Mus musculus: one gene and its partners. The protein of the gene in region 2 interacts with the protein of the main gene of each other region in a pairwise test. Links are inferred from orthologs where the notes say so. Each region holds a gene or a part of one and is shown on either strand. Other genes may lie near its edges.

Evidence for each region.
Region 1: the proteins of Ldoc1 (region 2) and Fosl1 interact in binary tests that used the Homo sapiens proteins (3 or more experiments, as listed by UniProt). The two-hybrid records come from large-scale screens. The link is inferred for Mus musculus from reciprocal best matches to the Homo sapiens genes LDOC1 and FOSL1.
Region 3: the proteins of Ldoc1 (region 2) and Nrip1 interact in binary tests that used the Homo sapiens proteins (3 or more experiments, as listed by UniProt). The two-hybrid records come from large-scale screens. The link is inferred for Mus musculus from reciprocal best matches to the Homo sapiens genes LDOC1 and NRIP1.
Region 4: the proteins of Ldoc1 (region 2) and Ap1m1 interact in binary tests that used the Homo sapiens proteins (3 or more experiments, as listed by UniProt). The two-hybrid records come from large-scale screens. The link is inferred for Mus musculus from reciprocal best matches to the Homo sapiens genes LDOC1 and AP1M1.
Region 5: the proteins of Ldoc1 (region 2) and Psmf1 interact in binary tests that used the Homo sapiens proteins (3 or more experiments, as listed by UniProt). The two-hybrid records come from large-scale screens. The link is inferred for Mus musculus from reciprocal best matches to the Homo sapiens genes LDOC1 and PSMF1.

Annotation. Positions count from the first base shown.
Region 1 is NC_000085.6:5,445,707-5,450,703, forward strand, and holds the start of Fosl1 (fos-related antigen 1), read left to right. Parts: upstream 1-1,991; 5' UTR 1,992-2,244; coding exon 2,245-2,349; intron 2,350-4,453; coding exon 4,454-4,645; intron 4,646-4,997.
Region 2 is NC_000086.7:61,707,818-61,711,867, reverse strand, and holds Ldoc1 (protein LDOC1), read right to left. Parts: upstream 2,258-4,050; 5' UTR 2,159-2,257; coding exon 1,703-2,158; 3' UTR 918-1,702; downstream 1-917. UniProt on the Homo sapiens protein: May have an important role in the development and/or progression of some cancers.
Region 3 is NC_000082.6:76,370,044-76,375,027, forward strand, and holds the start of Nrip1 (nuclear receptor-interacting protein 1), read right to left. Parts: upstream 3,007-4,984; 5' UTR 2,829-3,006; intron 1-2,828. UniProt on the Homo sapiens protein: Modulates transcriptional activation by steroid receptors such as NR3C1, NR3C2 and ESR1. Also modulates transcriptional repression by nuclear hormone receptors.
Region 4 is NC_000074.6:72,238,107-72,243,023, reverse strand, and holds the start of Ap1m1 (AP-1 complex subunit mu-1), read right to left. Parts: upstream 3,007-4,917; 5' UTR 2,823-3,006; coding exon 2,781-2,822; intron 2,773-2,780; exon of another isoform or gene 2,414-2,772; intron 1,301-2,413; exon of another isoform or gene 1,086-1,300; intron 1,080-1,085; exon of another isoform or gene 536-1,079; intron 87-535; exon of another isoform or gene 1-86. UniProt on the Homo sapiens protein: Subunit of clathrin-associated adaptor protein complex 1 that plays a role in protein sorting in the trans-Golgi network (TGN) and endosomes.
Region 5 is NC_000068.7:151,738,305-151,743,175, forward strand, and holds the start of Psmf1 (proteasome inhibitor PI31 subunit), read right to left. Parts: upstream 3,007-4,871; 5' UTR 2,851-3,006; coding exon of another isoform or gene 2,836-2,850; coding exon 2,707-2,835; intron 1-2,706. UniProt on the Homo sapiens protein: Plays an important role in control of proteasome function. Inhibits the hydrolysis of protein and peptide substrates by the 20S proteasome. Also inhibits the activation of the proteasome by the proteasome regulatory proteins PA700 and PA28.

The DNA of each region.
Region 1 (4,997 bases), on a different chromosome or scaffold from region 2:
TTGTAGCAAGCACTTTGACCTGCTGAGCCATCTCTGCAGCCTTGATTTGTTTTCTTGAGACAGTGTCATGTAGCCCAGGCTGGCCTTGACTGAGCTCATCTTGTAGCAGATGCTGAGCTTGACCATCTTCGGTCCTCCTGCCTTTATTTTCAGCACTCTGGGGTCACAGAGCTCACCGTCAGGCCTGTCTCTGTGACATTATTGTGTGTATCTCTCTAGCAATTTTCAGATGCAGTTGTCACTGTGCCCCCAGTTCACAAATGCGGAAACAGGAGGTCACAGTTGGGTGAATCATCCTGGATTCACAGTGGATGGTCAGCCCAACCAGAATTCAAACCCAGAACCCAGAGCATTCTGAGTGTACCGTGCATGTAGGCGTATTCTTTCTATGGATTCACTACCAAGACTCTTCTCCCCTCCTCCCCTAATCCCCAACACACATGCCTGCATTTCTCTTTCCTAGCTTAAGGAAAGAGCCCTAGAGCCCTAGAGGGGCTCTAGGCTGGTGATCTTTTGAGGATGCTTCAACAGCAAAGCTCTGTCACATCCGTGGTCTCCTTTGGTCCCATAGTAGCCCTGTGAGGTCAACAGTGAGGCCCACCCCAGACTCAGGAAGGAGACCTCCCCGGGTCACATGGACACAAAGTATAGTTCTATGATGAGATATACTGGCCTCCAGGCCTGAGTCCAAACAGCAGAACCCCAGCCTTTGTTCCCAATGAAGACAGCCCAGGCCTCTGCTTCCCTGAGGACAAGTTTCTTCAGTCTCCATTGAGATGGAAGAAATCAGAGAAAGAGTTTTGGGACCCATGCTCTCCCAGTCTGCCATTCTTCGTGTACGTACAATGTAAAGGCTTGAAGCTCATGGCCTGACTTGGTCACCAGACTCAGCCACTTACTCAGTGGCCTTGAGCAACTCATTTCAATACCTGTCAGCCTCAGTTTTTCCCATCTGAGAAGTGGGGGTTATGATGGCATTTACCTCCTCAGCACACCTGGTCAGGACCTCACCCGTATCAAGGCCTTTCACATACTTCCAAAGTGGGCTGGTGACACACATAGTACTGGAGGAGTGCCTCCAGTCAGACCTTCAGTCAAGAAGCCTTACTGACTGTGTCTCAGGACACCTATGTCCTTCTGTAGGCGCTCTCTGCCTGTAGAGGCCTGGATTAAAGCTTGTGATAGCTCCAGAGACGGTCTCAAACATGTAGCGCCTTCTATCTGTGGGTACACTAAATGCCACTTCACGTAGTATTCAAATATAACAACATTTCATAACCCTGGTTTGTCAATAACCTTTCAGTCTATCAAAAACCTTGACAACAGTTGAAACTGGGTGTGGAGGGGCACATTTGTAATGTCTGCCCTCCACTTGAGAAGTGAAAGCAGGTTATTCTAAGCTACATAAGGAGTTCAAGGCCAACCTGCACAACAAGAGACCCTATCTACAAAAGCCAGGTGTGATGGTGGCACAGTCCAACACTTGAGAGGTGACGGAAGGATCAGGAGTTCAAGGGCAGCCTCAACTAGATACCTGAGACCCTGTCTCAACCAACCTCCCTCCACAAACCACAAGCAAAGCAAACTCAACTAAAGAAACTTCTCACCCCACTTGAGAGGAGCGGTCTTAAGTCAGGACTGCAGACTTGGGTGACAGTTGGAATGATTCTCTCCAGGTAAATAATGATGATGATAATAATAACCCATATTTATAATTCACTTCCCAGCTTTCAGACACTCTCCCCGTTCTTCTTTCTAAGTCTTGGCGCGAGGCCAGGCGGCCACAGGATTTTGTTTCGCCCTGTGTTGGGAACCTTGGCTAGTCTGAACGGGGCGGGGCGCAGTTGCAAGCCCCAACTTCGGCAAGGTGCGTCAGGGGGAATCCTCGGTGCACCTGGGCGCGGCAAGGAAATTGCACCATGTATGGGCAGCTGCGTCAGAGGGGGGCGTGGCCGCCGCGGATGCTAGGGGACGCCAAGTCGGTCGCTTTCTGTCTGTAGAGGCGGCTTGCCACCCGAGCAGAGGGTCGTGAAGTTCCGAGCGGACCGGTCCACAGAGGTTCATCTGGAGAGGTGGGTCCCCTGCGAGGTGAAAGGCGCCGCTGAGACACGCCCCCACCCCCCGTGGTGCAAGTGGTTCAGCCCAAGAACTTTTCATTCATAAAAAAGACCAGACTCCGAGAGGCGCGAGTGAGTCAGAACCGCAGCCGCCAACGCGGACCCTACCGAACATCCAGCCCAGGGCATGTACCGAGACTACGGGGAACCGGGACCGAGCTCCGGGGCTGGCAGCCCGTACGGTCGCCCCGCGCAGCCCCCGCAAGCTCAGGCACAGACCGCCCAGCAGCAGGTGAGACTGGCCGAATCGTCGGGGGGGGGGGGACCTGAGTTTGGACAGCATCAGGGATGCTGGGATTAGTCTAGTTTGCTCCGGGATTTGGACTGGGGCCCCGAGCAGCATCTGACTCTGGTGGTCGCGACCGAGGATCCTGCACGTTCTGTGTGGTCGGGGAACCTATGTACCCGGTGGCCAAGGGGACGAGCGCAGCGGGAAGCGCGAATATCTGCGAATTCCCCTTCTCGCTCGCCCGTATCTCCCTAGCTGACTGTCTTTCTGCCCCTCCGTCTCCGTTACGGTCTTACATTTCCTCCTATCTGCCCCTAATACGCTGTCCCTCTAAATACCTGCCCCATCCCTGCCTGGACAGGATCAGAGGTGTTCTCCATCTCCAGTTAATAACTGGGACCTGGGGTCTGGGCACATAGAGACGGGGTCCATCAGAACTCAGCCGGGACAGAGAATTCTTAGCAGCCTGTCCGAGGCTGTCCGTGTGTTGCTCTGGTTGTCCGTGTCCCTTTATCCGGTCAAGTCCTCATCTCTTTGTGCGCAGTATAGAGCCCATGGGCCCCAGGCAGTGGTTCCGAGGGGTTCCTGGAGACCACGAAGTGTTGGGATGTGCGCGGGGTCACCTGCCCGGCCACACTCGCGCTCCACATTCTCGGCACCCGACGTCTCTCACTGCTGGATAGGGGCACTTGAGAGGTTGCAGGTGTCCATTTCCTGTCGAGGGGCCGCGAGCACGTGTCGCCAGGGGAGGGAAGGAGCTGCGTCCGTTTCGCCGAGTCACAGCGGGCCGAGTCACTGAGGCTGAGTCACCCTGGGTGCCCCTCCCTTCCTGGCCCCAAACGGCCCCTAAGGACCGACGACCTGGGAGCGAGAGATGCCCCTGGCAGTGCTTCTAGCCCAGAACGGGGGTCACTGAGATGCTGGGTCCCCCAGTATTGGGCTGGGGACATAGCTGTCCAGACTTGCCTAAGCATGTGAGGTGCTTCCTGGACTGGAGGGGCCCCACATCCTTAGCTCACAGAGCTTGAACCCAGTTTTCTCTCCCAGAACGCTGAGCCCCCACCCCCACCGACACTCAATCCCAACACATGCCTCAGATTTCTGCAAGAAAAGGAAGGAAAGGATGCCAGACCCCTTATAGGAGGCTTTTACTCTCTTCACTTTATTTCATGGACTTAAAAAACCCCATCAATTTTGAACTTTCAAGTTTTTAAGTCGACAGCTAGGCATGCATTTAATCCCAGCATTCAGGAGGCAGAGGCAGGCAGATCTCTGGGAGTTTGAAGCCAATTTGGTCTACAAAGTGACTTCCAGGTCAGCTAGAGCTACATAATAGAGATCCTGTCTCAAAACTTAAAAAATAAAAAACAAAAACAAAAGCCGATTAAAACTCTGATTTCTGAGCTATGAGAGCTGGCTTCTCAACAGCAATGGAACGTTGAATGATGTTAATAACAGGGAAACTGAGACTAAATAACATGCCCCAGTCTCAAAGCCCATCAATGGCCAAGCTCCAAGCTGATGCTGGACTCCCAAGCTCTGGTGCTACATGTCTATAGTCTTGGTGCCTGGGAGGTAGAGGCAGAGGAATCGTGAGTTTAGGTCTAGCCTGAGCTATGTGAGATCCTGCCCACCCCACCCCCGGCCCCCAAACAACAAATTCTCATCCTGATTCTCAGAATTGCCTTGGGAGCTAGAAGCTGAAAGTATGCCCATCTGTGAGGACTGGGTCTCAAATCTTAGTTTCTACTTACTAGCTGTGGGTCTATGGGCAACTGCTCTCCTGTCTGAAAACAGGATTATGGCAGCTGTGTGAGTCACTATTTGTTAAATAGTTGGAACAGTGTTACGCAGTCCATACTTGATTTAAAACAAAAAACCAAACTATCTCTGGTGGGGAAACAGACAGACGAAGAGAGACATTTTGTGACCTGCCCAAAATCACACAGCTCCTGAACAAGTAAGTTTCTGGTTGCCAAATGTTGCTCCTTGTGGTCTCCCAAAACTGGTATCTACACTGAGGTGAAGGGAGACAGAAGTCCAGCCTCTGTCCCCGGGAAGCCCCTCAGTCCACACAGACCTTATCATTTCCCTTCTTATCTCTCAGAAGTTCCACCTTGTGCCAAGCATCGACAGCAGCAGCCAGGAACTGCACTGGATGGTGCAGCCTCATTTCCTGGGACCCACTGGCTATCCCCGACCTCTGGCCTATCCCCAGTACAGTCCCCCTCAGCCCCGGCCAGGAGTCATACGAGCCCTAGGGCCACCTCCGGGGGTGCGTCGCAGGCCCTGCGAGCAGGTAAGAAACAGCGATGTTTCACTTTCCATAGCCCGTAGGGGTCCTACTAGACAGGGACAGGATCTTGCTACGAGGGAATTTCTATTCAGCATTGAAGTTCCTGAGAGGCCAAGAAGGAGGTAAAAGGTCACCTTTGAGTCAAGGAAGGCTTCCTGGAGAAGGCTACACGTTAACCTAAACCACGGATAGGATTTGCGTATGGAAGCTGAAAAGAATCTTCTGGGAGGAGGGTTGGAGGCACAGAATTGAGGTGAAGGGGACAGAGTGTTAAGTGAGCATGTCTCCACTGTCTGACGTGCACAGGGTGGAAGGAAGCCTGATGCTGGCTTTGTACCTCGGGGTGACTCTTCTT
Region 2 (4,050 bases):
TCCTGGTAACCTTGACATATTCCTATTACAGCCAGTCCTCAAGCAAGCATGCTGCTAGCTGAGCCTTTGCTGCTATGGCCTGGAAGGAACTACCCATGCTTATAGGGTGCTAAAAATGTAGCTGGCATTGCTCCAAATGCCTGTGGACAGGATCTAGCCCACACCTGTCAGGTTACTCATATGATGACCAGCGCCCCCCATTTCATTCCTCCCTGAGGTTTAGCAGCTTAATAAATAAGTGTGGTCATGCCTGAAACTCTTAAACCACGATGTATTATTTAAATTAATTAAAAGTTCTATGTCTGAATTCGCTTTTAAACCAGTAAAATGACATTCAGGCAGATTCAGGAAACCCTAGATCTTTCCAATATTTCCTGGTTACCGTGTATACCCCTTTACCAAGTTCATTTCAGCAGGGTAACATAATGGACTGACACACAAACAAAGCTGGGCAGATAATTCTCAGTACCTACCCTCTGGACTGTCTGAGAGATGTCAACTCACAAACTCCAGTCCAGGTTCTAGCTCAGGAGACATAAGCATCTTGCTAATTGCCACCCACAGGAAAGAAGGACAATGGATAAAACTTCTCTGCCATGTTAGGAAACTTCACTGTGCCCAGTAATATGCCTCTACTGTCAGTCTAAATGTTAATAATGTCCCTTTATTTCTCCAAAGTGACCTAATTTAAGATGATAGCCCCCCTACCCAGCCACCCTTTATATGTCACCTTGGAAGCCCCAGACAATGCTCCTTCACCACAGCTTTTAAAACCCTATGACAGGGCCCCCTGGAGCCCAAAAATGAAAGTGAGAATACTGGGATTGAACCAAGTTCCCCAACCACAATGAAATAATGGAGGTGAGTCACAATAGCCAATGGTAGCACTTAACCATGAAAAGACAACAGTTTGCTGCTAGTTTTGCAGTGCTTGATATTTATTGCAAAGAATTACATTGCTTTTTTCAAGTACTAGAGAGGATCTGGGCTGAATGCCTGTCCGTTTGCTTTTATTTTAGTAGTCCTTGTCCACATGGACACATCTGTGAGGCTGCTGCAGTTCTGAAAGGAAACGTGCTGTGCAAAACTGATGCATAGGAGAAAAGACATGTCAACATTTTAACTGTCCGGCAGGCACATCAGGTTCCTGTTCTGGTCAGGCAGATGTGGAACCTGGTAGTACGTACAGAACTAACCAGTCGGTAAAGACTGGCTGGCCCCTTCAAGGTTTGGTGAGTAGTCCAAAACAGAGTCTGAATGGGTGGAGTAGCAACTCCATCATCTTCTTGGTCCTTATCTTGAAAAGTGCTTCAGATGAAATTCGGTGAGTGGAGGTGAAATGTCAGGAATCTGCTTCTGGGCAGATGGCGGACTGGCCTGAGTTCCAGTGGATGTCAGCAGCAGGAATGCAGGTGGTCTGACCAGTTCTAATAGGGACCTGGAAAATCGCTGGAACTCCGAACAGAGTTCAGATTAGGATAAGTGCCTGAGGCCAAAGTGAGTTTCAGAGCAAGGTCCAGGCCCAACTCACAGCAGGTAACTGGAACAAAGACAAGTCCTGAAGGGAATGATGGAGCAAACAGACTGGCGGGGAAGAGGATGGCCATGCAAAGGGAGAGATTGAGGCAGCAGGAATGGCGGGTGGGGGGTTGGAATGAAAAGGCGTGAAGGCCCCCACCTCTAGGCCTAAGGGGGCTCCGGCCTAGTGATCTTCCTCCATTTCTTCCTCTTCATCATCATCACCATCATCTTCGTCGTCGGTACCCCAGCCAAAATACTGCTTCATCTCATCAACAAAGGCCTGATAATCACCGAGGACGTAGCTATTTGACTCGATGTAAGGCATCACCCACTCCTCAGCTTCCCCGGAGAGGAGGCTGATCAAGAATGCCACTTTCATGGCATCATTGCAGAAGTGCTCCTCATTCGCAAGCATGTAAGACATGGTCTGCATGATAAACTCAGGGAGCCGACCACTCTCGCCGCTAAACCGTGAGGGGTAGGGCACCGGACAGCTCGGTGGACATACCTGGCGCAGCAGCCTGGCCCGCTCACACACCAACAGTCGCAGCTGCTTCAGGAGCTGGTGGTTCTCCATGCACAGGGCTTGGTGCCTATCCAGAAGCGCGTGCAGAAGCGACAGCAGCTCTTCCACCATGGTTAACTGCTTGGACGGTCTCGGTCTCGGTCTCGGTCTCAGTCTCGGATCGGCTCCACGGAGCTGCACAGAGAGGCTGAGCAGGAAGTGCGGGTCCTCAGAGGAGTGCGGACCCTGGGCAATAAATGGAGGGGTCCCAGCCAGCGGCAGAAACTCCACCCACAGGGTCACTTTACAAACCTGTGCGCTAGCGCAGTGCGGTAAGGAAGGTGTGGCTGGGAAGGGTGCGGGATGGCGTGGGGGCGTGGTCAGGGTGGGACTGGTGGCCAGAGTGGATGTGGCTGAGGAGGAGCAGGGCGTGACCCAGGAGCTTCGCTGCGGGGTCCCGCCAGTTCTTCCACCTGGAAGTAGGAAGGCTGAGGGAGCAAAGCTTGCCACAGTGGAGAACAGATGCTCAGCCCTCAGGGCTGGCCTGCTCCAGCTGAAACTTTTCTGCAGGCAGCCTGTTCATCTAATTCAGTGTTCCTTTGTGGGTCTGTGGCCATCAGCTTCTTTAAAGTGATCCTTTCTTAACACATTTTTTTTTCTTTTTTTACTTTTTATTGGATATTTCTTTATTTACATTTCAAATGGTATCCCCGTTCCCGCCTCCCTCCCCTCAAAACTCCCTATCCCATCCTCCTCTCCCCCTGCTTCTATGAGGGTGTTCCTCCACCCACCCACCCACTCCCATCTCCCCTCCCTCGAATTTCCCTACACTGCGGTCTCCAGCCTTCACAGGACCAAGGGTCTCTCCTCCTTTTGATGCCTGACAAGGCCATCCTCTGCTACATATGCGTCTGGAGCCATGGGTCCCTCCATGTATACTCTTTGGTCGGTGGTTTAGTCCCTGGAAGCTCTGGGGGTGAGGAGTGTCTGGTTGGTTAACACATTTCCTTGCTCATTTAAATCTCACTCGGAGAAATAACGCTGACTCTGTGGGCCACCGTGCAGGAGGTCATTTGGGTTCCAAGTCTAAAAGACTCACAGGTAGACTCACTTTCATTAAATAAATAAATAGTATGCAACAAAAGACTTCTCTTTGACAAGCAATTTTGTTAACAAGATTTGCAAACACCAACCAAAGAGAAAGCACAGGCTGGACCTAGGCCTTCCTGCACACATGTAGCAGATGTGCAGCTTGGTCTTCTTGGAGGTTCCCCAACAACTGGAGCAAGGGCTGTCCCTGTGTCTGCTGCCTGCCTGCTTGAGGACCCAGTTACTCTAAATGGTTTGGCTTGTCTGTCCTCATTTGGAGAGGGTTTGACTTGTTGGGTGTGTGTGTGTGGAGGAGGATGTTATTTTGTGAGGATTTTTATTCTCAAAAGAGAAGAGAAGGTGGAATGGAGGAAAGACCTAGGAGAGGGGACACTGGGAGGAGAGGAGCGGGTTGATATTGAGATGTAAAGTGAAAAAAATAAATAAATTTAATAAAAAAGAAAAAAGAATGTCCTCCCCCCAAAAAAAGATTTATAAAATGTATACAGGGTGTCCACTTGTAAACATCCTATCTTTGATTCTTATCATGTCCTGTTTATGAGTACCTTTGTTCCTGTGTAGTTAAACTACCATGTGCACTGTTAAATAAGCCTGTCTGCCTAGTTTGAATGTGATTAGTTGTTGATAACTAAGTTTCGTTCTGGGTCATCAAGCTGATACACAATGGGTCTGCTTTTAAAAATATATCTCCAAATTCAATCAATTCTGGTCCTATCTGCTACCCTGCTACATCGAATCCCTTAGCTGCCAGCCTTGCCCTTTAGCAGCATGCACTCTGTACAGTAAGTTGCCCAGAACACTTTAAAAGGTGAGTTAGACCCTTTCACTTCCCTGTTCAAGGCCTTCCAATAGTTTTTCCCTCTCTGCTTTTCCCAGTAAAAAGCAAACTCTTGGTCATAACATACAAGGTCCTG
Region 3 (4,984 bases), on a different chromosome or scaffold from region 2:
TTTTTTGGTTGTCCTCAATGTTCTAAAATAGTGATGTCTGGCAGAATTAATGCAGTGCTCTAGTTCTCTCTGTTCGGCTGATATTTAATTAAAGATCTGGGAGGCCATCTTTCAGGCGACACCGTGGAAGGAGGAGCCTTACTCCCTCCTTGGACAATGTGATAAGCCACATGGCAGAGGGTGCCTCCTTCAGGCCTCCTGTTTAACAGACTGCTTCCCTGCAAACAGTCCTCCAGCAGGACAGGTTGTATAGCACTTCCCTTCACACTGACTGTATGCTCAAACACATGATCTCACAGGCATCGACTCTCTACTCCCTAACCTTCTCCACATCCAAACTGTTGGTAAGTGGCACCACTCCTCCCTCTCTATATTTTTTTAATCATAGCTTCTGTCCCCCACCTCCCCACCCCAGAACCTCTCAAGGCACTGAGAACACTTATTTTGTAATATTTCTTGAATCTCTAATAACACAGGAAAATCTTTGCACAGTCAGAGCCACCTTGGAGCACAAGCTAAAAGAAGCTATCTTTAAAAAATTTTTTTTTTCTTTTGAGTTAATATCTTCTGGAGACTAGCCCACTTGAGTTGATATGTCATAATTTTTGATTCCGAAAGCGGCATGGGTAATTTAAATTGGCACTTGCTATGCATTACTGAAATAATTGTTCTCCGGGATGGCCTTTGGAAAGCCTAAACTTCTAATCATGTTTTGACTATACAGGAACCATAAGGGATGTGTCAACGTAAGCAGACTCCAAGAGCAATAGACTAACAAACAGACTCTAGGTGGTGGTATAGGTTATTTTTTAATCACAATGTTTTGCTCTTAAAGCTGTAGGAGTCAAAGCCTTGGCCTTATCCACAAACATTTTGCCATTGCTAACGCACAATATTTTCAGATCTCTCGATTATAAAAATTCAAGTTCGGCAAAGTTTGGAAACACAGATAGGTGGCTCTAAGTCTTCTCGTAGCCACTGAAGCCTGGTTTCCAAGTATCTTGAAGGCACTTCACAGGACTCATCTGTATACAAACAAGCAGCAACCGAACTTCCCTCCTTAGAGTTTGTATGTCTACTTTTTAAGTATATTTTCTTCATGCTCCAGTCCCTGAAAGGCTAAGTGTGGAGAGAAGTGTCCCCAGTAGAGTTATTATAAAACAGGCTGGAGTAAGTATCTGGTTTGCAGGTACTGCCTGCTACAATTCTGACTCTCCTTCTTTGTCTACAGTAACTAAGTCCTGTACAGAAATTTCCTGTTGGTTTTGAAGTCCCTGAATCAATTAAACCCTGTTGGATATTACCAAACTGCTGGGCAAAACCAGGGCAACTCACTTGGAAGTGGAAGATTTCAACATACTCCAGACAGCAGCCACTCTTAGGGGCCGTGCATAGGAAGCACCGTTTGTTTAAAAAGTCGACTTATTTCACTCTTAGACAAAGGTGGCAACCTGATGATTAAACACTGGATAATTGCATCTGGAAGATGCCGCCCACTTGCTAAACCTGTGATTCACTAATAAGCGGGTTCAATGTAATTCATAACTTTAAAGAATTACTAAAGCCCCTGCTTTACAAAACCCAAGAAACACAGACCACACATCATTTAAGCATGTATTCGTATACACAGACACAGACAGACAGACAGACATGCCAATCTTGGTTTACTTTTAGTCTGTCTCTCTTTCTCTAAAAACACGGTTTTCCTTCAGTGTCACAATCAGCTTACATGAGCAGACAAACTCCAGCCTGGTGCCACAAAAAAATGAGTTAAAAGTTCTTGCACCTAATCATGTCCGGACTTTCCCCCAACTAAAATGACCCATTAATTAAAACAACAACGACGACGACAAAGTATTTTAACGTGAAATTACCTAACGTTCCGTTTTTCGTTTACGACCTCCAGAATCCAGTTAAATTACTGACATGATGGAAGGTAGAAACTCCTGGAATGCCTTAGAGATCAACATGTGTCAGACTCTCTGCCTGTCCGCCTTTTAAACACAGTGGATTCCTTTGTTCCTTCAGTCTGAATATCAACTCCTGATTAAAATTTGGAAAGTACTTTGGAAAGGGATAGGAGGGTCTGGGGAATGTTTGCACGCTAGAGGGTTTCTTCTAACAACAATAGTATTAAAGGAGGACAGTGGCACCAGAGAGGAGAGCGGTCTCCCCGGACTTTACCAGGCTCATGCGAGTGAACCCCCTCTCGGATGCTGGGGGAACTGGGCTGAGGCCTCGGGTGCAAGGAGCCTCGCCCTCCCTCGGCAAGCGGGGAGCTCGTGCCCAGCAGGCCGGGCCTGGGGCTCAGTGCTGCCCCTTCTCCGAGTCACTTTTCCCGGCCGGGGATCGGCGAGCACCGCGCAAGGGAGACGGCAGCGATAGGCGGGGAGCAGCGCGGGCGCCACCGAGAGCACCGCTGGGCGGCAGGACCGAGCGGCGCGGCAGCCAGCGCCCGGGGCTCGGGGCCAACGGGGGCAGCTGGGCGGGCGAGCTCGACCGGGGCCCCGCGACCCGGCCACCCGCGTGGGTCCCGGCGCAGAACACCCAGGGCGGCTGCGCCCCTCGCGCCAAGGCTGGCACGGACGAGCCCGCGGCTGGGAACTCCACAACTTGGCGGCTGCGCCGGCCGGGCCCGCGAGTTCCAGGGGAGAGCCGGAGCGGGGCGCGGCGGAGGGCTGTCCCCGGGATCCGTGTTCCCGGAGCTCCCCGCGGGCCTCCCCCGGCCTCCGCCGCCTCCACGGGCCGCGCACCCAGGCCGTGCCCGGGCGGCGCGGCGTCCGCTCCCGCGAGCTCCGCACGGAGCCCGGGCCGCGATTGCCACTCACCGAGGCCGCCGCGGCTCCGGGCCGCCGATCCGCGTCGCTCCCTCCTTCCCAGGTTAGCCGTGCCCTGCGGCCGCGCGAGGCCACGGGCGCTGCGCTCGGGCGGGCTGGGGCCGGCTCGTCCTCCGCCTGCGCCGCGGTCGCCGTCGCCTCCCGAGTTCGGGGCTCTGCTGCAATGTCTGCGAGGCTGACTTTGAGCGCCTCGCTCGCCGCCCGCCCGCCGCAGCCGCGCTCCTCCCTCCGCCGCCGACTTCGCGGCGGCCGGGTCCCTCCCCTCGCTGCTCCACGCCATTCAGCTCTTCAGCCAAGTTTCTTAACCCTTTTCTGCCCCTCCCTCCCATTGTCACCCGGGCCGAGCGCGCACCCGGAGGCTCGGCGGAGCCGGGGAGCCCACCGGGCGTCTGCAGGCCTCCTCGCCGGTGCTCCGGGTGGGGGTCCGGGACTGATCGGCCTTGAAGGCAGAGAGAGGACGCGGTTGGACCCGGAGAAGGAGGGGGTGCTGTGCTTCCCGAGCCGGCGCCCTGGCTTCCCAGCCCCGTCCAGCCAGCCGCCTGGACAGATTCCCCGCTAGGGGCCAGGCGATCGCCCATGTCACCCGTGCCGGGGCAAACGCTGGGGGCACCACAGGGGCGTCGGGGCACCTTAATCCTACCCCAGGTTCCCCAGCCTACGTGCTGGCACCTTAAGTGTCTCCCTTTCTCCCGTTTCACCCCACAAACACGCGTTCTTTTGGCGCCCTTTACCCACCCTCAATTTCCACCTCCTTAAAATCTGTGTCCCGCTCAAATCCCGGAAGCTGCGGCGCTGTATAACTCTAGGTCATTTTGACCCCATGCTCAGCACCTAGTAGGACCCAGTGATAAATATGGCATGATTCCAAGCGGAAAACTGGAAAGGAGACCTGAGGAGTGCACAGCTAGCTCCCTAGACGGACGCAGGACCCAGGAACCTGGTTTCTCTTCTGCTGCTTTGTCACTGCGAAGTCTCCAGCAGGGTCTGCCCGCCAAACTGCACCACCCCCAGGAAGGATCTGACCCAACAGGACTAGGAGATGGGCTGTCACTTCTTTAAAGCAGCTCTTGCTGGGTTCAGAGTCTCAATAAATAACAATTACATCATATAGCCAGGGTGGCAATGCAGGGAAACTTGGGTTTCCTGCAGCCTGGTCTCGCTGAACCCGCCTCTAAATTTGAGGTGGGCTAACAGATTGGTGAGGCGAGAAAGTGGAGGGAGGAGAGAAAAATAAGAAACCATGATCTCTTCCTCGCCTTGTGTTTTCTGCTTTTAAAACCTATTCTCTCTACTCCCTTCATATCTTACTTGTGAAGCCTCCTTTTAACGCTCCCCCTACCCCAGATGTCTCTGTCTCGTTTGTTTTTGACTCTAGTCATGAAAAGAATTACCTGCGGGAAGACTTGTGGTTGCAGAAGTTGTTTTTGTTTGACATTAAAAAAAAAAAAAAAAGGCTAAAGTACATCTTCGATTCACCCTAAACTCTGAAGTGCTATCCCTGCCTTAAAATACTTACTAAGACAATTTTGTGGATGAAGCTTTCTACTCTCATATGTTTTCATATCCTTAAGAATTTCGGTAGCATTTGGAAGCAGTTATTGATGCACACCAAAACCAAAAATTATCCAAGTGACCCAACCGTATTCTTTACTGTTATATAATAGCTCTATAGCTATTTTTCGGATTTTTCAAATGAAAAACGTCTGGGGTATCTTCCCAATCTTTAAAGTAAAGGCAATTTTTCAAATCAATTCTTAATAAAGCTATATTCTAGCACAGTCCTGAGCACATGCAGGAAATATTTTCCTTAATGGCGATGATGGTGCATTTTAAAATACTTATTATCTGTCCTCCTAGTGACTCACCTATGCAATCTGTTGTCATCTAAGGTAGTGTCAATCTCATGTAACAGCATAGCACTCGCATATGCCGCAGTTCAAAATCTGCTTAAAGCAAATTAGTAAAGGCAGCATTAATCCCAGGCATCATTACCTGTCCGGCATCATTTATCCGGGATTGACAAAAAGCAAATAATTGCAAATTAAATGACCAGCATAATTGTAACTTATTAGCTCTTTAGTTTTTTTTTTTTTTGTAAATATTATACAAAGACATTCTAAATGTATCCCAATTTAATGTGCCATTTT
Region 4 (4,917 bases), on a different chromosome or scaffold from region 2:
ACACAGCTCTCCACAGATGCAGGTACAAAGGTCCCAAGGCAGAAGCAGACAGGTTGTCTCAACACCTGCTTTAGGGTTCCCACTGGCTAAAGTGGAATGAGCCAGAGTCACATGGAAAAGCACTGGGTGGGAGGGTAGGGAGATTATGAGAACTCAGACTATACAAGTCCTTGTGAACAACTGGGACTTTGTTCTCAGTGCCCAAAAGGGAAGCATGGAGAGAGGAAGGCGGGAAAGCAATACTTCTGTACTCCAAATCTAGAGTCACCAGAGCCACAGACAGCATCCAAGTGTTCTTGGAGGACCTCCTATTTGCCAAAAGTAGCCACATGGAATCCCTTGGTAATGAGAGGCTCAGTGTGGCATGTTGTCATGAGGCTGGTTTGATTTTAGAAGGAGGCAGGAAACTACAGCTTTCTAGAGACAGGTCTGACCACATCCCAACCTGGGGACTCCTGCCTGGAACTGCAGTGGCCCTGGAGCTTCCTCCCATTGCATCCCCAAAGTCCCAGCACCAGTCTATGGGCTGACTTACACCCGGCATGCCAACTGGGACATCTGTCACCTTCTCAGAACCACATCAGGTGCCTGCTCTGCTTGGATGTCTTTCATAACCTTCTCTAAATGCCAAACAGAAGGCAAATAGCTATTCAGTTGCTGGTCCAAGTGTTCTGCTAGGTCAAGAGGCCTGTGGAGCCCAAATACTATGCTCTGTTGACCTTGCTAGGGCCAGGCTTGTCTCACATCTATACTCAATAACTCAGATAAGGCTCTTCAGATCCATTAGGAAAGCAAGGCTCAGACTGCCCAAGGTGCTGAGCCAAGGTGCTTGTCTATGATCATACAGCTCAGCTGCGGAGATTGGCTGAATCCACATGTAAATATGGCTCTACAGCTTCAGCCCAGGATGGGTACTTGCTTGTGCCAATGAGATGTTTGCTAAAGGAACAAGCAAGCCACGACAGGCAGCCCACTGTACCTCTAGGCCAGGTTGGAAGGCAGAGCATATGTCATGAGACCTAGGGAACACTGCCCCTACCCAGCTTCCCAGAAGGCTGTGGAGGAGGCCCAGGTCTGGAACTCACCAGTTGTCGATCTTGGGTGACATACAAGGCAGGTACACACTCAAGGGACTAAGGAAAACGTGGAGGGTGGGGCTCTTCTAAGCTCTAGCTCTTCCATGTAGACTGGACATCAATGTTCTTTCACTGCTAAATGTTGGACTTGTTTACTGTGGCTGGACCTGTTCTGGTAGCTTCCAAACATAAGAGGCTGGCCACTTGCCTTCCACTCTGACAGCCTGAGGTAGAGCGACAGACAGTGCCTTTCTTAAGGCTAAATGTGCCTTCCTGGAAGAGGCTTTTGCATAGAGTACACTGTGGCTGCCTGACAGAGAGCTTGTTGTTCTAGGCTCTATCCTCAGCACCACAAAACCATCCATTATGCTAGGGAGACAGCTCAGTCTGTATTTTCCAAATATCCGACCTGAACTCTATACCCAAATCCCAGGTAACAGCCAGGTGCTTACCAGGTGGTGGTGGCAAATACCTTAATCCCAGCACCTGGGAGGCAGAGGCAGGTCAGTCTCTAAATTCAAGGCCAGCCTGGTCTACAGAGTGAGTTCCAGGACAGCCAGAGCTACACAGAGAAAACTTGTCTCATAAAACCAAGAGAGGGAAAAAGTCAGATTCTGCTGGGAAGTACAGACAGGCAGATCCATGCGTTTTAACGGTTCAGGCAGCCTAGCTCAATCAGTCTAGTGACCCGAGTTCGATAACAAGAGCCCATGTAAGAGTAGCAGGGGTCTCCTTCCTCCACACACCCGCAGAAACACACAAATGAAGATTTCTTTCTCAGATAACGCTGGGCAAGATGCCAGGGTCCTGTTTCTGTGCAGGGCCTTCATGTCTCAGCAGTCTTTGTTATTCCCAGTCAGGATAGCTCTCCCTGATTCTTCAGTTGCAGCTGCTAGTCCATTATGAAGACATGGCCCCAATAGGTATTCATCTATTTCTGTTTTTTCCAAGTGACTAAGTTGAGCTATGACAGATTAGGCTAACCCACGGTGGCCCTGGGCTTAGCACCTGCCTGGCGAGGATGCTTCCAGGCCGCTACTTCCCAGTAATCAGTGTGACTCTAGGCACTGTTTCCCCCTCTAAAACCACACTTTTGTTTGTTTTTGTTTTTCGAGGCAGGGTTTCTCTGTATAGCCCTGTCTGTCCTGGAACTCACTTTGTAGACCAGGCTGGCCTCGAACTCAGAAATCCGCCTGACTGCCTCCCGAGTGCTGGGATTAAAGGCGTGCGCCACCACGCCCTTCTTAAAACCACACTTTTATCATCCGCTTCTCTTAATGTCATAGGAAGCTCAGTGGCTCTAGGGAACGCTGAAGCCTGTGGAGCGAGGGACCGACCTAAGGCCATAGTTCCCGCCACGCCTCTGGCCAAGGGTCGCACGGTCCCCGGGGCGCAGGGTCCTGCTACAGGAGTTCGCAGGAGAAGCTAGAGTCCGGTACCCAGGCGAACAAAAAGGGAAAGGGGCAAAGCGGACAGTTACCTAGCAACCGCAGCCCACCAAGTTGGCTAGCAATGGGGCGGGACTCGCGGAAAGACCACCGCCCATTTCCTAGTAACTTGGTAGGGCTGGCAAGTGAGGCTGCCCCGCCTGCCTGACGCCCTAGCTGGGCTGGTCGGCCAGTTGCCTAGCAACAGGGTGGGTCCTGACAGGGCGAGGGCCCGTTGGTTGCCTGGCAACGCGGAGGGTGGCGAACCCTTCAGTACCTTGCCCTTCAGATCCAGTACGTAGACGGCGCTGGCGGACATGGCGGCTTTGGAAGGTCTCGGCAGTAGCCGAGGGCGGCGGCAACGGCAGGAACTGCGGGCGTTCAGCAAGGCCCGGCGCGCCCCGAGACACTTCCCCTCCACTTCCGGTCCATGAAGCAGCGCGTGGACCGTTATGTCCGGTCTGAAGGGAGCCGCAAGTGCGCAGGCGCGTAACTGAGTGCAAGCGCAGTAGGAACTTTTTGGCAGTATTTTTCACCCATAGCTCAAACGGGCCGGAAGTCAGGGGGCGTGGCCTTCCTGAAGAGCGGGGCCTGGAGGACCAGGGCGGGGCAGCTTTGTCATTACTCCTTGTACCTGAAGGACTAGCTGTGGAATGAAGGTGGACGCTTCCAAGCCTGTTGCTGTGAGAAGACGCTGAAAGCGGAACCGATTTGGAGTTGAGCCTTTTTTTTTCTTTTTCTTTTTTTGTTTTTTCGAGACAGCCTTGCTTTCTGCAGAAGTCAAGTAAACTAATATCCCGTCACTGACTGTGACTCGCCGTTAGGTGGCGCTTAAAGGAAGTCAGTCTCCCAATGGCAATCCAGCCTTATCAGCAATCACTTGTCACTGTCAACCTCTCAACTGACTGGGCTTCACCCGTCTTGCCCCAGTGAACCCAGGGTAGCACGTGTGTAACTTAGCCTGTGCCTAATTCACAGTAAGGCTGAGCCGGGCGTGGTAGCTAGCGCACGCCTTTAATCCCAGCACTCTGGAAGCAGAGACAGGCGGATTTCTGAGTTCGAGGCCAGCTTGGTCTACAAAGTGAATTCCAGGACAGCCAGGACTATACAGAGAAACCCTGTCTCAAAAAAACAAAACCAAAGTAAGGCTGATTAAATTTTAATTCTGCCATTCTTCTTTTTTCGAGACAGGGTTTCTCTGTATAGTCCTGGCTGTCCTGGAACTCACTTTGTAGACCAGGCTGGCCTTGAACTCAGAAATAAACCTGCCTCTGCTTCCCAAGTGCTGGGATTAAAGGCGTGCGCCACCACCGCCCGGCAAATTCTGCCATTCTTAACCACCTTTCTGCCACCGAGAGATCAAAGGAGCCCATCAACACTCCTCCCCGCCCCAAGGGCTTTTTTTTGTTTTTTACTTTGTGTGGTTTTTTACTTGTGTGACACATAGTGAAAGATTCCCGAAGGGAGACCCTTACTCAGACACTTAAGTCCCGGGACAGCCGCGTACCCAAGAAGACACTGAGACCATACATAAAATGTAGAAGGTAAGATTTAATAAAGCAGCGACATGAAAGCACACAGACCAGAGCTCTGGGGTCGAAATAAAGCAGCAACATGAAAGCACACAGAGCTCTGGGGTCGAAACTCATACACCTTAGCACAGGGTAGAGGAGTCTCGACAGTCAGCCAAAATTTTTCACAGGCTTATATAGTAAAACTCAAAGGGGGAGAACTGGGCAGGAAAAGTACAAGTTTACATCACTAGGGAGTTCTGCCAAAGGAATCTAGGTAACTAAGGAGTCATGTCCTATCAAGGAATCTACGTCAGGAGGCCTTTATCTCAAAAATGTTCTTGGAACAGTTTTTTCGAACTTTAGGGTGAGGAGTTTTGGGGTGAAAAGTTTAGGAGTGTTCCGAGAACAATCTCTAGATGGGAGGGGGTGGGCTCCGAGGTAAAAAATTCATGTTCTTACAAGAGGCCAGTAATTTTTCATTCTTCATTCCCCACTTCTTCTTGTAAGTAATTCTAATCTTAGAATTTCAGAAGTCTATATCTCTATGTGGAGAATACTGCATTTACTCTATCTTTAACATGGGAACAACAACAGAATAAGGCAGATTAGTAAACAGAACTAGGCAGGGACCCTTCTAGTGAGGCTTGAGGGTCTCAGCATGACGCAGGTGTACGCAGATCAGATCTCTGGCTGGAACTGGTAAGATGTCCTTGGGGTACCCAGCTTGTTCACTGTAGCCAGTTGTGATCAGACTTCTTTCTGCACCACCTGTAAGCCTTATAACTTAGTATACAGATCATTATTATAACAACATAGGTTTAAACACATTATTTAAGACAGTGATGGGCATAGGAGCCCCATAAAGGATCTTAAAAAGAGTAAAACCGAATCAAGAGGGAG
Region 5 (4,871 bases), on a different chromosome or scaffold from region 2:
GGCAGAGGCAGGTGGATTTCTGAGTTCAAGGCCAGCCTGGTCTACAGAGTGAGTTCCAGGACAGCCAGGGGAACACAGAGAAACCTTGTCTCAAAAAACCAAAAAAAAAAAAAAAAAAACCAGAAAAGATATATATATATATATATATTATATGAATGAAGGTCACACCCAACCACCAGCCTAAGACTTAGTTTGACTGGGCATGAGTGAACCTTCGACACTACTTCTGGGAATTCAGACTTACACAGGCCCTTTGGGAGTCCACCTAGCAGTACTTAGCTCTATGAGGTTTGTATGAGCCAAGACTCAAACGTCCTCCTAGAAGGAAGCTGTGGATACATGTGGGAGCCTGATAAGCAATGTCAACCTTCATTCCAGTGTGAGCCTGAACAGCTGAAGCCGAGGTAAAGTGCACACTATGCTGACAGTGGCACATTACACTGCAGTCAGAAGGAACACACTAGATCAAATTATAGTATTCTAGAGAAAACGTCATGTGTGTGTGTGTGTATTGGCAGTAAAGAACCAGGAGGAGGAGTAATTCTATGAAACTCTCCCCTCTGGACACATGCACAGAGCACCCATGAATACCATCTTCGTAAGAGCAAGTCACCAAAATAAGCAATATTCTGTCAGGAAGCACTAACTGGACTCTGTTGGTTATGAGTGGGGTACAGAGGGAGAAGTCACAAAGTGGGAATTTACAGGGGGAGTGGGAGGAGTTAGAAAAAGTTTATGGTCCAATACCATTTATGGAAAAACAAAAAACCCTTTAAAAAGCACACATTCAACACAAAACAGCACGACCAGAAGCTGTGTTCATGAGAGCATGGTAGGATGGGATGGGATGGGAAGGAGTGGGGCGATGGACAACACTGACAAAGGCCCACACATGAAGGACTTTACACAGCAAGTGCAGGGGAGGCCACCCCTGGTGTTTGGAAATCCTTTGCCAGAGGAGTCACAATCAAACTTGGCTAGGTGACAAGGAGACTGGTAGCCTCAGCAGAGACAGGAGAGTAAGGAGAAAACAAAACTGAAGCTAGCCACAGCCTGAGAAACCCTCTTGCCTTTCTGGGTAACTTCCTAGTGTGGTGTGGACTTCAAGGGTGACTCGGGTGTTTAAGGCAGGGCTGGCAGACCTTACCTGTGTTCAGTCAAGACCTTTGACTCTCTCCTGTCCTACATGGACAGCACTGGCCCTACCAGCAGGCGCTCTTGACTTACAGACAACCTGCTCTGCTCCCCACCTCGACACCTTCATTCCGGAGCAAGAAATAATCGCTAGGGTCAGGTAAAGCTCACAGCCTCACTGTGGTAAGGTGAAACGGATACTCCACAGAAAACAGAAGCTAGACAGGCCCAACACATCATGTGGCTGTCCTCTGCACCTTGATATAAAATATCAAGTGTCCCACAAGGCTATGGTTGGCAGATAACGAAAGCATATGTTTGTACCATGTAACTTCCTCAGATGAAGACTCAAAGGCCTGAGAGTGGCTGCGACCTATGAAAGGTTAGAGCAGGGCAGGCTGGAGATTCTTCCAGACAGACTGGTAAGGTAAAGAAAGGTAAAGCTAGCTGTCTTCTATAGACAAAATCCTGAGGCTAGAAACATTCCTTAATGGCCACTGGGCTCACCCTAGTGCCTCTGGGCTAGAATGCAACCAACCAACCAACCAACCAACCAAAACTGCACACATAAACAGGTCATTCTCTCTTTATAATCTTCAGACTCCCACAACACAATGCCAATTTTTCTAACTCGTATCTATGGCCATCTCCATGGCCCTCCACTGACCTTATCTCACACGGCTACAGAGCTCTCATGGGGAGTAGCCGTGCCCTCAATAAGGAGACCAATCAATGCCTGTTTGTTCAAGTCAACAAACATGTTCTTGAGATCAAATATTACAAGCCCAGCTCTATAGCACTGGAGGCAAAAAAGCAAAGAGAAAGTGGGCAGCATGACTCTTTAGCTGCTGAGTTGGTATTACCCAGTCAAGTGCGTGCTTTGTTCCTCTCATCACCCACAGAAGGAGGGTGGCAGGAGGCAGCTAGAGGACCAACACAAATACCTGCTGAGTCCAGCAAGCATTACTAATCTGCTGGCCACAGGCTGGAAAATAAAACTCTCTAGTAGATAAATTAACAGTTAATGGCCTCTCAATTTTTAACTAATTAATTAAAAAAAATTTTTTTTTGGCTTCTACCCTGAAAACGCATACCCATCAGCAGAGAATGGAGGCAAGGGCAGCCTGAGCCCAGAAAGTACTTCAGGAGAACGGACAGCAAGAATCAAACGCAGCATTCAAGTCTGAAATCCAAACACTGTCCCCTCGAAGAAGGGGTCCTAGAATATGGCTGAGTAGGTCAAAGTTCACTGCCACACCAGTGCTTGAATCCAGATGCTTGGAGTTGAGGGTGTAGCACGGAGTATTCTACGGCAGATGCTTTGGGTAAACTGGTGGATGAGGACCTTGAGGAAGCTACTAGCCTGTCTCAGTCAGATCCACACAACCCCGGCTGTGTCGGGGACGCCTTTACACGTCCGTTCCCGAGTTTACACGCACGCTGTGCCCGTTGTCGGCACCAGCACCAGGCGCGCTAAAGTGCGGCATCAGAAGCCTCGCTCGGGCCCTGGCTTTGGCACGGTCAGGGCAGGCCTTTGGGCCTCGGGCTGCAGACTCCCCTCCACCCGCGTACCTGGTCGCCCGTGCCCAAGGCATAGTAGCCGTTTGTCACCACTTCCCAGTGCAGGAAGCAGACGAGTGCGTCCTGCGGGCAGCTCATGGATGGAGCGGCCGACGCGAAGAGAACCTCGAGACCCGCCATGGATGTTTGCGGCTTCTGTGGGAAAGGAAGAAAAGGAGGGGACTATGCAGAAAGCCGCTCCGCCTAAGAGAAGCGGGACCGCGAGCGGCAGCGACGCCTTTTGATGCCGCCTTCGCTTTCGGCTCTGTCCGCACCTGCGCGGAAAAGTGGAAACGCGGAAACGCAGAGACGCGCACCGGAAATACTTGTTGACTTTGTGCGTGCTCCGGGCTGGAAACACCTGCACCGAACTAGAAGGTTCCACTAAGAAGCGCGCAGGCTAGGGCTTATCTTCTCAAAGCCTTTTTGCCTGCAGCAGGCGACTGCTGAGTGCCAGGCTGTTCGTTCCTGGGGAGAGACTGCCTTCTACCAACTACAGTAGACTTCTCATCTGCGAAGTGGAGTGTGTACTAGGCCGGGGGAAAATTTAGGCAATCTGTCTTAGATGTTTTCATCGTAATTTATTAGCATGCCTGCAGTACTTCTTGCCTGATAGCACTTTATTCTACATGCTAAACTTTAATGCATTTATCAAAATTTCCAGATCCAGTATTATACAGTTGGTATTGATGACAGTACTCTGCCACTACATAGATTTGGAAATCGTGTCACAATCAGCCAGTGAGCAATAGAGGTGCCCCTGGGAACTGGTAATTTGGTCTCTAGGATAGCATTTATATGTATGTTGATTGCATGCTAAATCCTGTGCCAAAACCTTTACATCCCCTCTCAACAAATTCATGGGGTATATTTTATTACCCATCCTCACTTTGCGAGTGATATAAAGAGCAGAAAGAGTGAAATGACTTCACCCAAGTAAACACAGCTTTTGACCACATCTAGAGCCCAGAGATAACTGACAAATGCTAGCCACTTGTGCCCCAATCTCCATCAAGATTTTTTTAACCACCTGTTGTTTCTCCATGTTTCTTGAAGTCCAATACTTTTTTGTAGACAAATAAATTTTGCCATGTTGGTTGGTACCATGACCCAAACCATTGTCATTTTTTTTTTCTTGGTTGCCTGGCATCAGCCTTGTATGCTACACTGGTTTCACCCTACAACCAGAGAGATTCTGTTAAAACACAGGGAAGACCATGTTCCTTAGGCCCAAGCCACACCTCAAAGGCGAAGTTCACTCTAGGTCTGTCACCCTCTCACTCCACAGGCCCTGTGCCTTTCTGATATCACCTCCAAGTGTCCTTTCATTCTCTGATCTCCTTGGCTCCAGTGACCTTGACTTCTCTCAGCTCTCATGCCTAGGTTAACATGCCACAGGTCTTGCCCTGATGGAACTTTGTAGTGTTTCTTTTTAATAGACAAAAAGCAATCCAGTATGAAATCTGTCATTTGGGGGTGCTGAGAGAGCTATACAAGGCCCACAGGAAGCCTATGTTCCAAGCAAGGATCAGGAAGGGTTTCTTGGATTAAGAAATGGCCAATTGCACAGAACTCTCATGGAAGAATAAAGAAGAAATGTTCCTGTAAAAGCATATAGCATACGTGAAGGCACCAAGGTGGGAAATGTAGCTACCCCCGTGTAACTGGAGACTCAACACTGCCCCTCTCATCTCTTCCTCATCTTTAACTACTCTCCACACCTGTCCTCAGCCTGGATGTCATGACCCCCAGGGGTTGCATAGCAGATTTCCCTCAAATTAGATATTTATATTGTGATTTATAACAGTAGCAAAATTACAGTTAGGGAGTAGCAATGAAGTGATTTTATGGTCGAGGGTCACTATAACATGAGGTACTGTATGAAAGGACCGCAGCATTAGGAAGGTTGAGAACCACTGCTCCACACTGTGCTCAAGGAGTTTGGTGGTGTGCCAAGGGGGCAGGCATGCAACAGAGAAAGCTATCAGCTCCAGAAGGGCTGAGAATTTTATCACTGAAGTAGGTTAGGCTTGCTGGTTCATGATGATAGCAAAACACAGGCTGGACTTTTGGCCAGCTTTATTAGTGCTTTTAAGGTTTTCTTTTACTCTCTCTTTTTCCTGCTGTTGTTTTATCTTTTTGTAACGAGGCCTCTTGCCTCCTAAGCCACCAGTGCT